2 linked regions of the Daphnia pulex genome follow. The protein of the gene in region 2 binds, or shares a complex with, the protein of the main gene of each other region. Links are inferred from orthologs where the notes say so. Each region holds a gene or a part of one and is shown on either strand. Other genes may lie near its edges.

Region 1 (3,281 bases), on a different chromosome or scaffold from region 2:
CTCCCTGGAAACCAATCGATCGACCCCTCCCGCGTGAGCGTGCTTTATATTTGCTTAAAATTGATCCATTCCCCTCTTTACTTCTGTTGGGGGGTTGAAATATCTGTTTCGCAGACCTTCTAAATAAATTACGAAGCCTGGACTGCTATGCTGCACTGCACTCCTGCTCCATGGGAACCTGTGGGCAACTACTTTCGAATCAGGGCTGATCAAATACTCATGTGGGACTCGGTCAGTCAATGTAATGTTTGAAATGTGATTCAATATTTGAAGAACAAAAAACCTTGGGCTTTCCTGCGAAGAGAGTGGTAGCATTCAAAAGTCCTTCCAAATCATTTAGTCGGTCCAAATTGAAGACCCACTGTGTCATGGAGGTTTGTTTTTGTTTTCAAGCAAGAGTTGCATGTGAAATAGATCGCGTGATGCAGCCTAATGATAACTCAACTATGGCCAGTTTATAAGAAAGAAGATGAATCGACTTACGTGTTGCTCTCGCTACAGGCGGTGGCTGCGTAGATGAAACGGGGCCGTTAAGGGATATTTCAAATCTTCTAATAACATGGGGGCAGGAATCTGTAAACTGGTTGATCTCGAATCAGACACGCATCCTAGACCAATATCAGCGCGAAAATATACTCACGCCTGCTGCCAAACGATGCAGACGAATCTTTCCCAGTCCATCTGGCGGGAAAATTTCACTTTTCAATTCAACGCCACCTAACGTCAATGAACTCAACAACTCAATTCTTTTATTTCGCTTATAGTAGAAGTTTATTTTTATTTCATCCAGTGCGGTATGCAAAAAAAAAAAAAAAAATCAACAGAAATAGTACATCATTCAGAATGATAGAAAAATTGAACGGACAAAAAACACGTCCAGCGTCGCCTCGGCGGTTGGGGGTTATACATGACGGAAACGCGTGAAATAACACACACACCCTCGCTCCCACAAAGAACAAAAAAAAAAGTTAATAATAAACTCTATCGATTTTTTTTTGTTGGTTTTGTTGGGTTTTTTTCTTTTCGTTTTAAATCTAAGGGGGGGGGGATTGCTCACTTTTTAGTACGTAAACAATCAACATATTATTGTCAAAACACACAGACACTCACACGATTCTCACATTCGCGTCGAAAGTAACGTCGTTCAATTATTTTTTTTTTAACAAGAGATAGGCCGACGTCGACACGATATATTATAAGGAGAAGAAGAAGATGGGAGAAATATTTTATAGTATAAAGGGAGGATCGGGTTGGGGGGAGATATAGAGGGGCAGTAGGTAGAAAGGTACTAATGTGTGAAACAAAGAATAGTAGTGGCCTAATTATGCACAATCTATTGTACAGTTTTTTTATTTTTCTGTAAGGATAAAGGTCAGCCTATCTCCCCACTCGAAACATTTCGCTACCATACGATTTCATTTTCTGATATTTGTTTTATTATTCCTGACCGAAGCCTTCCGTTTCCTCGATGGCGAACGTCATCTTCTCCACAAGCTGCTCGTAACTCTTGTAGGGTGGCAAATCTAGCCGATTGAAGCAGGTGTGCGAGCGTGGCAGCCACGTCTCTTTGCCCACCTTCTCGATGCAGAATCGCTGGGGTCCATTGCTCCCTGAAAGGGAAAAAGAACAAAAAAAAAAAACAATTCAATGGTTGATTAAACAATAAAAAGTACCCAAAAAACAACTAGAGAAAAAAGGAGATCAACGAGCCGGAAAAGTGAACAATTCATTCCACCGCAAAGTTTTAGAGAGAGAATGAAAGAATGATGCGGATCGACAGATGGGCGCGTGGTTGTGGGTACGGTTTTGACGTAACCGCACACACAAGACAACACAGTCGGTTCACACCATAACGGGACGTCGCCGGAAGTGAAAGAACAACACAAGACAAAATCGAATCTGGACAACGAAATTGAAGGGGGAAAAGATAAAAGAAAGAAAGAGTGAGAAAAAATTGTCTTACCCATGAGCTCGGCGAATCCTCCGACGGGCACTTTGCACGTACCGCAGACGAACTGCAGTAAACGGGCCCTCTTCTCGTTGTCCATGGCGCGTACAAACTGTAATAATAACAACGCAAAGGGAGATTGAGATGAATCAAGAGAGCGGACACACCAAACAGTGGACTTTCAACCCAAATTAGTACCTGCCAGAACCATTGGACTTGCTTCGAGTTGCGGGTGTAGTGGCGGTAGACCGTGTTGCGCTGCCAGTCGTCGATGTCGATCTCCTGCATGCCGCAGAGCATCAGCTCCAGCTCGCGCTCGTCAAAGTAATGAAGCCATTCGAGCGGAACCACTTCGTTGAAGCCGTCCAAAAAGGCCTTCGTTTGCTCCTCAATGCCTCGGTTCATCCTCCAATCCGTCATCAATCTAAATCCAAGCCAATTCAATCCGGTTAATGAAATCAAAAAAGGGAAAAATCATTTCGAATTGGAAATGACTCACCGCAAGTATTCTTCCTTGTTTTCCTCGTTGACGCGAACGTTATCGCCGCCGGGCTTCAATTCGTGGTGAGTCAACTGTCCGAGGACCTCGAAATCGGCCGAAAAGTAAAGCTCCAATCCGCACTCTTCCAGATTGTTGTCCTTGACCCACAGGAGCGAATTGTAGAATTCCGGATCCACCGACTCGATGTCTTTGGTCGTCAGCTTCTTGTTCAGCATGCGCTTGTAGAACGGCAGCGTGAAAGCCGAGTAGATGAATCGTCCGTGATACAAAGCCTGTTGTCGTGTGCAAGGACACAAATAAAAAAACAAACAAAAAGAAAGGATCGTGAATGTCATTCCGGCCTCGATCGACCCAAATTCTGTAAAGCCGAAAGAGATTTGTCGGCCATCATCCATACCATGGCGATGAATCGACCGATAAACTTGAAATAGTGCAGGTGATCGGGATTGACGTGGGACGCCGGATTGATCTGAAGGCTGTAGTTATTCTTGTTGGCGTATTCAAAGAGGCAGTACATGGGATTTAGCACTTCGTGTGACAGCAAGAGAAACCATTCCCTGTCAAAACAAAAAAAAAATGAATAGAAAAATCAGTTTCCTCTTCAGTGTCCAATTAGCGCACACTTCAAGGGACGCAAAGGGGGTATTTAATTAATAATAATTTTACCTAGCCACTCCTCCGTAATCAAGGCCCTCCTCGCCGCGGAAAATGACGTACAGCCGCCTGCGGAGCTCGTAGGCGGGCAAGCGCATAATCTGATGGTGCGAATCTTCAAAGAGCGTCGACCGGTTGAGAGTGATCTTGATGTGTGATGGTAAGGCATTACTCTGA
Region 2 (4,552 bases):
ACGACGTCGACGCATTGGCTCTGTCCGGTGTTTGCATCTACTCACGAACGACAAATGATTTCATTGTCCCGATTATCATTTTTGACAGATCTAGACACGGGGTCAACGGTTGCGCTCCACACGACTGGAGAAATAGGTTGGATCGATTTATCACGAAGCGAATTTTCCTTTTCTTTTTTAGAGGCCTAGAAACGAGTTTTTTTTTTTTATTCCGTTCCCACGGATAACCATTTCACCCCTCTCCATTTGATCGTTTGATTCAATTCCCCCCTACTTTTTGTGATCCGTTTGAGTGGTTTACATGTGCAACAGTTGCTGCCAATCTGTCGCAACTACCCCACCACCACTTGTGGTGAAGGGGGTTTGGTCACGTGACCATCGATAGAGCATTGAGTTGATTGTTTGGGTTTTACGCTCGAGGAATACGAACAAGTCAATGCAGGAACAAGTTGGTTTAGTTCTAAGTTTGGGTATCTCGTTAACCCTTTTATCCCAACGGGAAAGACCTGATGATTTTCGTGTCTAACTGCACGGTAGATGATGAGAACCAATCAGCGCGGATCGAATGTAAAATGGGGAAAAAAAAAGGAAATTTCGGTTCGAGGCGTATATGACACAAATAAAAATATGAATGATGCAGAGCCATAGGCAGAAGAAGAAATGAATATAAATATGATGAAAGGCGCATCACGCAATGGGTAGAACGCAGAAGATGATTCCGGCGGCGCCAGTTGAATGATCAATCACGGTCTACATGATGCGGCCTTCGGATTCCTGGAGCTTGATGATGATTGCCGGTCATCTAGTTTCTACCTTCTTTTTCCGTTTTTCGTATGGTGCATCAGACTGTTTCTTTCTCAATTGCATTATTTTTTTGTGGGCTCGACAACGAGCTGCTTTCGTGATGTAGCCCACTTTTACGGCTGATTATACCATGCGCGGAATGGCAGAAAAACAATGGACGGACATGTCAACTGGATGAGGAGCTTAAAGGCGTCACGATCCCAGTCAAAAACAAATCGACAGGTCCTTTTTCCAATCGGCTTCACTAAAAGGGAAAGTTGCTGGAAAGATTTGGACGATGTCACTTTTTCCCCTGTATGATGGATGGGGGGATATTTCATCCCTACGGAAATCAGACAATATAAAAATATATTTCTAGGCCTAGTATTCCTCTTGGGTCTTTTATGATCGGCCCCAAAATTCTTTGAGAAGCTCCCTTCTTTCGGCTTTAATTACTTTCTTCGGGGAATTCTATTCTACATGTTTGTGAAATAGAAGAAACCAAGTCATGAACTTGTTAGACTCGCAATCAAAGTTTCATCTAGAATATACCACAAATACAAATAACTCTGTGGTTGAGAAAAATCGTTATTATAGGCGACACGTTTGGCCGAGTGACAGAATACTGGAAGAAGAATAGGCGCAATTTCAATTTTGTTCTTGTGTATTATAATTTTTCTTCTCTGTGTGCAGCAAGAAAACCCGCGGAGATTGCAAGGAGAAAGGAAGAGAACAAGTCGGACTCTGATTGGTTGTCGGTGGTTTTGCCTCGAGGCCAGTTATTCTGATAGAGCGACTCCCTCCGGCCAGTCGAGAAGCGTCCGTTGAACGGGAAGGATGTACTGTGTCGCTGCTGCTTGAATTTCTTCCATTTTTCTCTGTGTGCATCTGAGTTTAACAAAAAATCTCTTTACTGGAAAAGTGTGTAAAAACAAGAGAAAAAGTGCATCACCATGACCCAGTGGCTGAAAGTGTTGGTGTTTTGAGTGATTTAATTTTTCATCTATTCAACACAAAGAGGGAGAGAAGAAAGAAAGAAACGTTAAGTGTGTGTGAGTCCCTGTTTTTGTTGCTGCCATTAAAAATGGGGACCGACCGCAGTGGATTACTGATGCTGTTGCTGGGCATTCTCGTCTTCTTCTCAGCTTCAGTTCAAGGTAACCTTGACGTTTTTGTCTCGAATATTCGTGTGGCTTAAAATTACCTCATGACGATTGTTTCATTAAAGGTAGGGGGGAGTCTGAAAAAAGTAGTTGGGATGACGGTTAGAGTTTTGTTGCATCTGCTCTTCTTTTCAAAAAAAGACGCCGGGCCCCGTAGGGCTTTACATTTCCCACGCATTTAAATCCCCCCTCCAACCGACGCTCTCATTGTCCTTCTCTCTCCCCCCCCCCCCCCCCCTCTCCGACCTGTTGATCGACGTTGCCGAGATCTCAGCAAATCATTTTATTTATTTTTTAAAATTAAAAAAAGAATATGGTGATGACCAACATATCCGGCGAATAAAGACATCGTGAGATGATTAAGTTTCAAGACATTTTCATCAGCCAAGACATTTTGGTGGTGTCACATAGCGTTAGGCCACATGTTATTTGATAGTCATGAGTTAATGATGTTAGACAATAGCGTCGTATGTCCATTGAATCGTATCCTCTATCAGGGCGGAAGTGCATGATAGTGGACCCGTTTCCGTTGCTCTTTTTGTGTGTGTGTATTATCATTCACTCAAATCAATAATAATAATTAACTGTAATTTTTTTTCTTTTTTTTTTATTTATTCCAGGATTCGTTTCGTGTTCGCCCAATCCCTGCAAGAATGGAGCGTCGTGCGTCTCCAACCCGCGCGGCGAGTCTTACTGCAGGTAACGTCCATTGTTGAAAGTCTACAGGGGAGATCTATCCCCCCCCCCCTCTCTCTCTCTCTCCAATGGTAGAGTCTCTCTCGCTCAGAAGCGTGGGAAACAAGCTGGTCTGCATAGTTTGGGCTATTGAAACCACCTACCGTCAGCCACCCTACCACCACCACCTTGTCCACTTTTTTTTTTTGTTCCATCCGGTTTGGGCCCGAGCTGCTCACGTACTGCCTCCAGCTCTTTTTCTTTGTCTGGTAGTGGAGGTGGTAGTAGAAGGGGGGGAACGTTGATTTTTTATTTTTGGGGATTATGCTTTGATACACATGGTCCAGTTGCTCCAATCACTTGTGAAACAAATGATTAACTCTTTTTATTTTTATTTTTTACAGCTGTCCGCCGCAATACGTGGGCGAGTACTGCCAATTTGCCAACCCCTGCCATACGGGACCCGGACCTCGGTGCCAAAATGGCGGCACTTGCGCCGTCAAAATGTCGACTAATGCCGTGCCCAGCTTCTCCTGTTCGTGTCCGCTGGGTTACTCGGCCTCGCTGTGCGAGATTCCCGTGCCCAACGCCTGCGACACTGGGCCGTGCCAACACGGCGGAACGTGTCTACTCCGCACGCTGGATAACTACACCTGCGCCTGCTCGTCGGGATTCCGCGGCGCCAAATGCGAAGCTGTCGACCACTGCGCCCTGCATCCGTGCAAAAACGGTGCCCAGTGCACGTCTTTGTCGGACTCTCACCGCTGCACTTGCGCTCCTGGATTCGCTGGCCCGACGTGCGCTGTGGACATTGACGAGTGTAAACGCAACCCGTGCATCCACGGTCGCTGTGTCAACACCCACGGATCATACAAGTGAGTCCAGTCGTATTGACTCTTGTCGTCAACCATCTGTTGATCTTTCTTGGCATCCTTATCTCGACGTCATGATTGTCAAATGATTACCAAGCTGACTCAACAAAGTTGTTGACGCCGACCAAAGAAAGTCCGAGGGGAAATTTTTTCGTCACATCTTTATTATTATCTTCTATTCAACATTTTTTTAAAAATGTAGTTTCCTTCCAAAAATATTAAAAGAGGACAAAAAAGAAATTAAATTTTTCAAGGCTTTCATTGTCGAGTTAGCGTGGGAACGGCCGAGGCGAAAACAAGTCCATTAAATCGCCGTGGTCAGTAGACACCAGATTGAATTTATTTGTACTTTCTCGTCACGTGTCTGTGTGTGTCTCGTCTCATGTTTGTATCATGCCGGGCGCTAATCATCCGTTTGTATCCGTTTACTTTTTTTATTTTCCAGATGTAACTGCCACACGGGTTATACTGGCCAGAATTGCGAAAATCAGTATGTGCCATGCAGTCCGTCTCCATGCCAGAATGGTGGTGCGTGCAAAGCCATCGATTCTCTCAACTACGAATGCCGTTGTCCGCCTGGTAAGTCTCATAAAATTTGATTGAACCTTTTATTCCTCTTCTTTCCGGTAAATTTATGACAACTGAAACGAATTGTTGGTCCCAACAACCAAAAAGAAACAACAACAACATTGAATCTGGTTAGAGTAGCCATAAAGTCATTGTCGGCTGTTAAAATGAAGTTTAAATCTAAAGTCATCAGATTTCGGATGTGCTTGGTTTCCATCGGTGGGAACATTCCCACACACACAAGAAAGCCAAAACTTGTTATACCCTCGGGGCAAACCTCGTCCATCCAGAGAGACTTGAATATAAATATCCGAGCCCCTCTCTCTCTCTCTCTCAAATCTCTCCAGGCTCTTTTATGTTCCGACCCCTCCACCTTTCTCTAAAAAAAAGAACACCTGGGCGATGACCAACAAAGAATTCTTTCCTGTCTACTTACAGCGTTGCCATTTTCCCTTTAACACGAATCTAATATTTCCCCCCTTTCTTCTGATT

What was found.
Region 1: the proteins of neurogenic locus Notch protein-like (region 2) and E3 ubiquitin-protein ligase Su(dx)-like are in contact, whole or in part, in an NMR structure (PDB 2JMF), measured with the Drosophila melanogaster proteins. The link is inferred for Daphnia pulex from reciprocal best matches to the Drosophila melanogaster genes N and Su(dx). Residues at the interface, in NP_001245510.1 of Drosophila melanogaster: Lys2323, Gln2324, Pro2326, Tyr2328, Glu2329, Asp2330, Lys2333; in NP_001259898.1 of Drosophila melanogaster: Glu528, Arg530, Thr532, Ala533, Ala534, Glu536, Phe538, Val540, His542, Arg545, Thr547.

What each region holds. Positions count from the first base shown.
Region 1 is NC_060026.1:2,738,096-2,741,376, reverse strand, and holds the end of E3 ubiquitin-protein ligase Su(dx)-like, read right to left. Parts: coding exon 3,117-3,281; intron 3,008-3,116; coding exon 2,848-3,007; intron 2,723-2,847; coding exon 2,448-2,722; intron 2,373-2,447; coding exon 2,147-2,372; intron 2,061-2,146; coding exon 1,964-2,060; intron 1,611-1,963; coding exon 1,438-1,610; 3' UTR 759-1,437; downstream 1-758.
Region 2 is NC_060028.1:5,082,156-5,086,707, reverse strand, and holds the start of neurogenic locus Notch protein-like, read left to right. Parts: upstream 1-1,591; 5' UTR 1,592-1,867; coding exon 1,868-1,940; intron 1,941-2,566; coding exon 2,567-2,645; intron 2,646-3,025; coding exon 3,026-3,496; intron 3,497-3,938; coding exon 3,939-4,072; intron 4,073-4,552. UniProt on the Drosophila melanogaster protein: Essential signaling protein which has a major role in many developmental processes. Functions as a receptor for membrane-bound ligands Delta and Serrate to regulate cell-fate determination.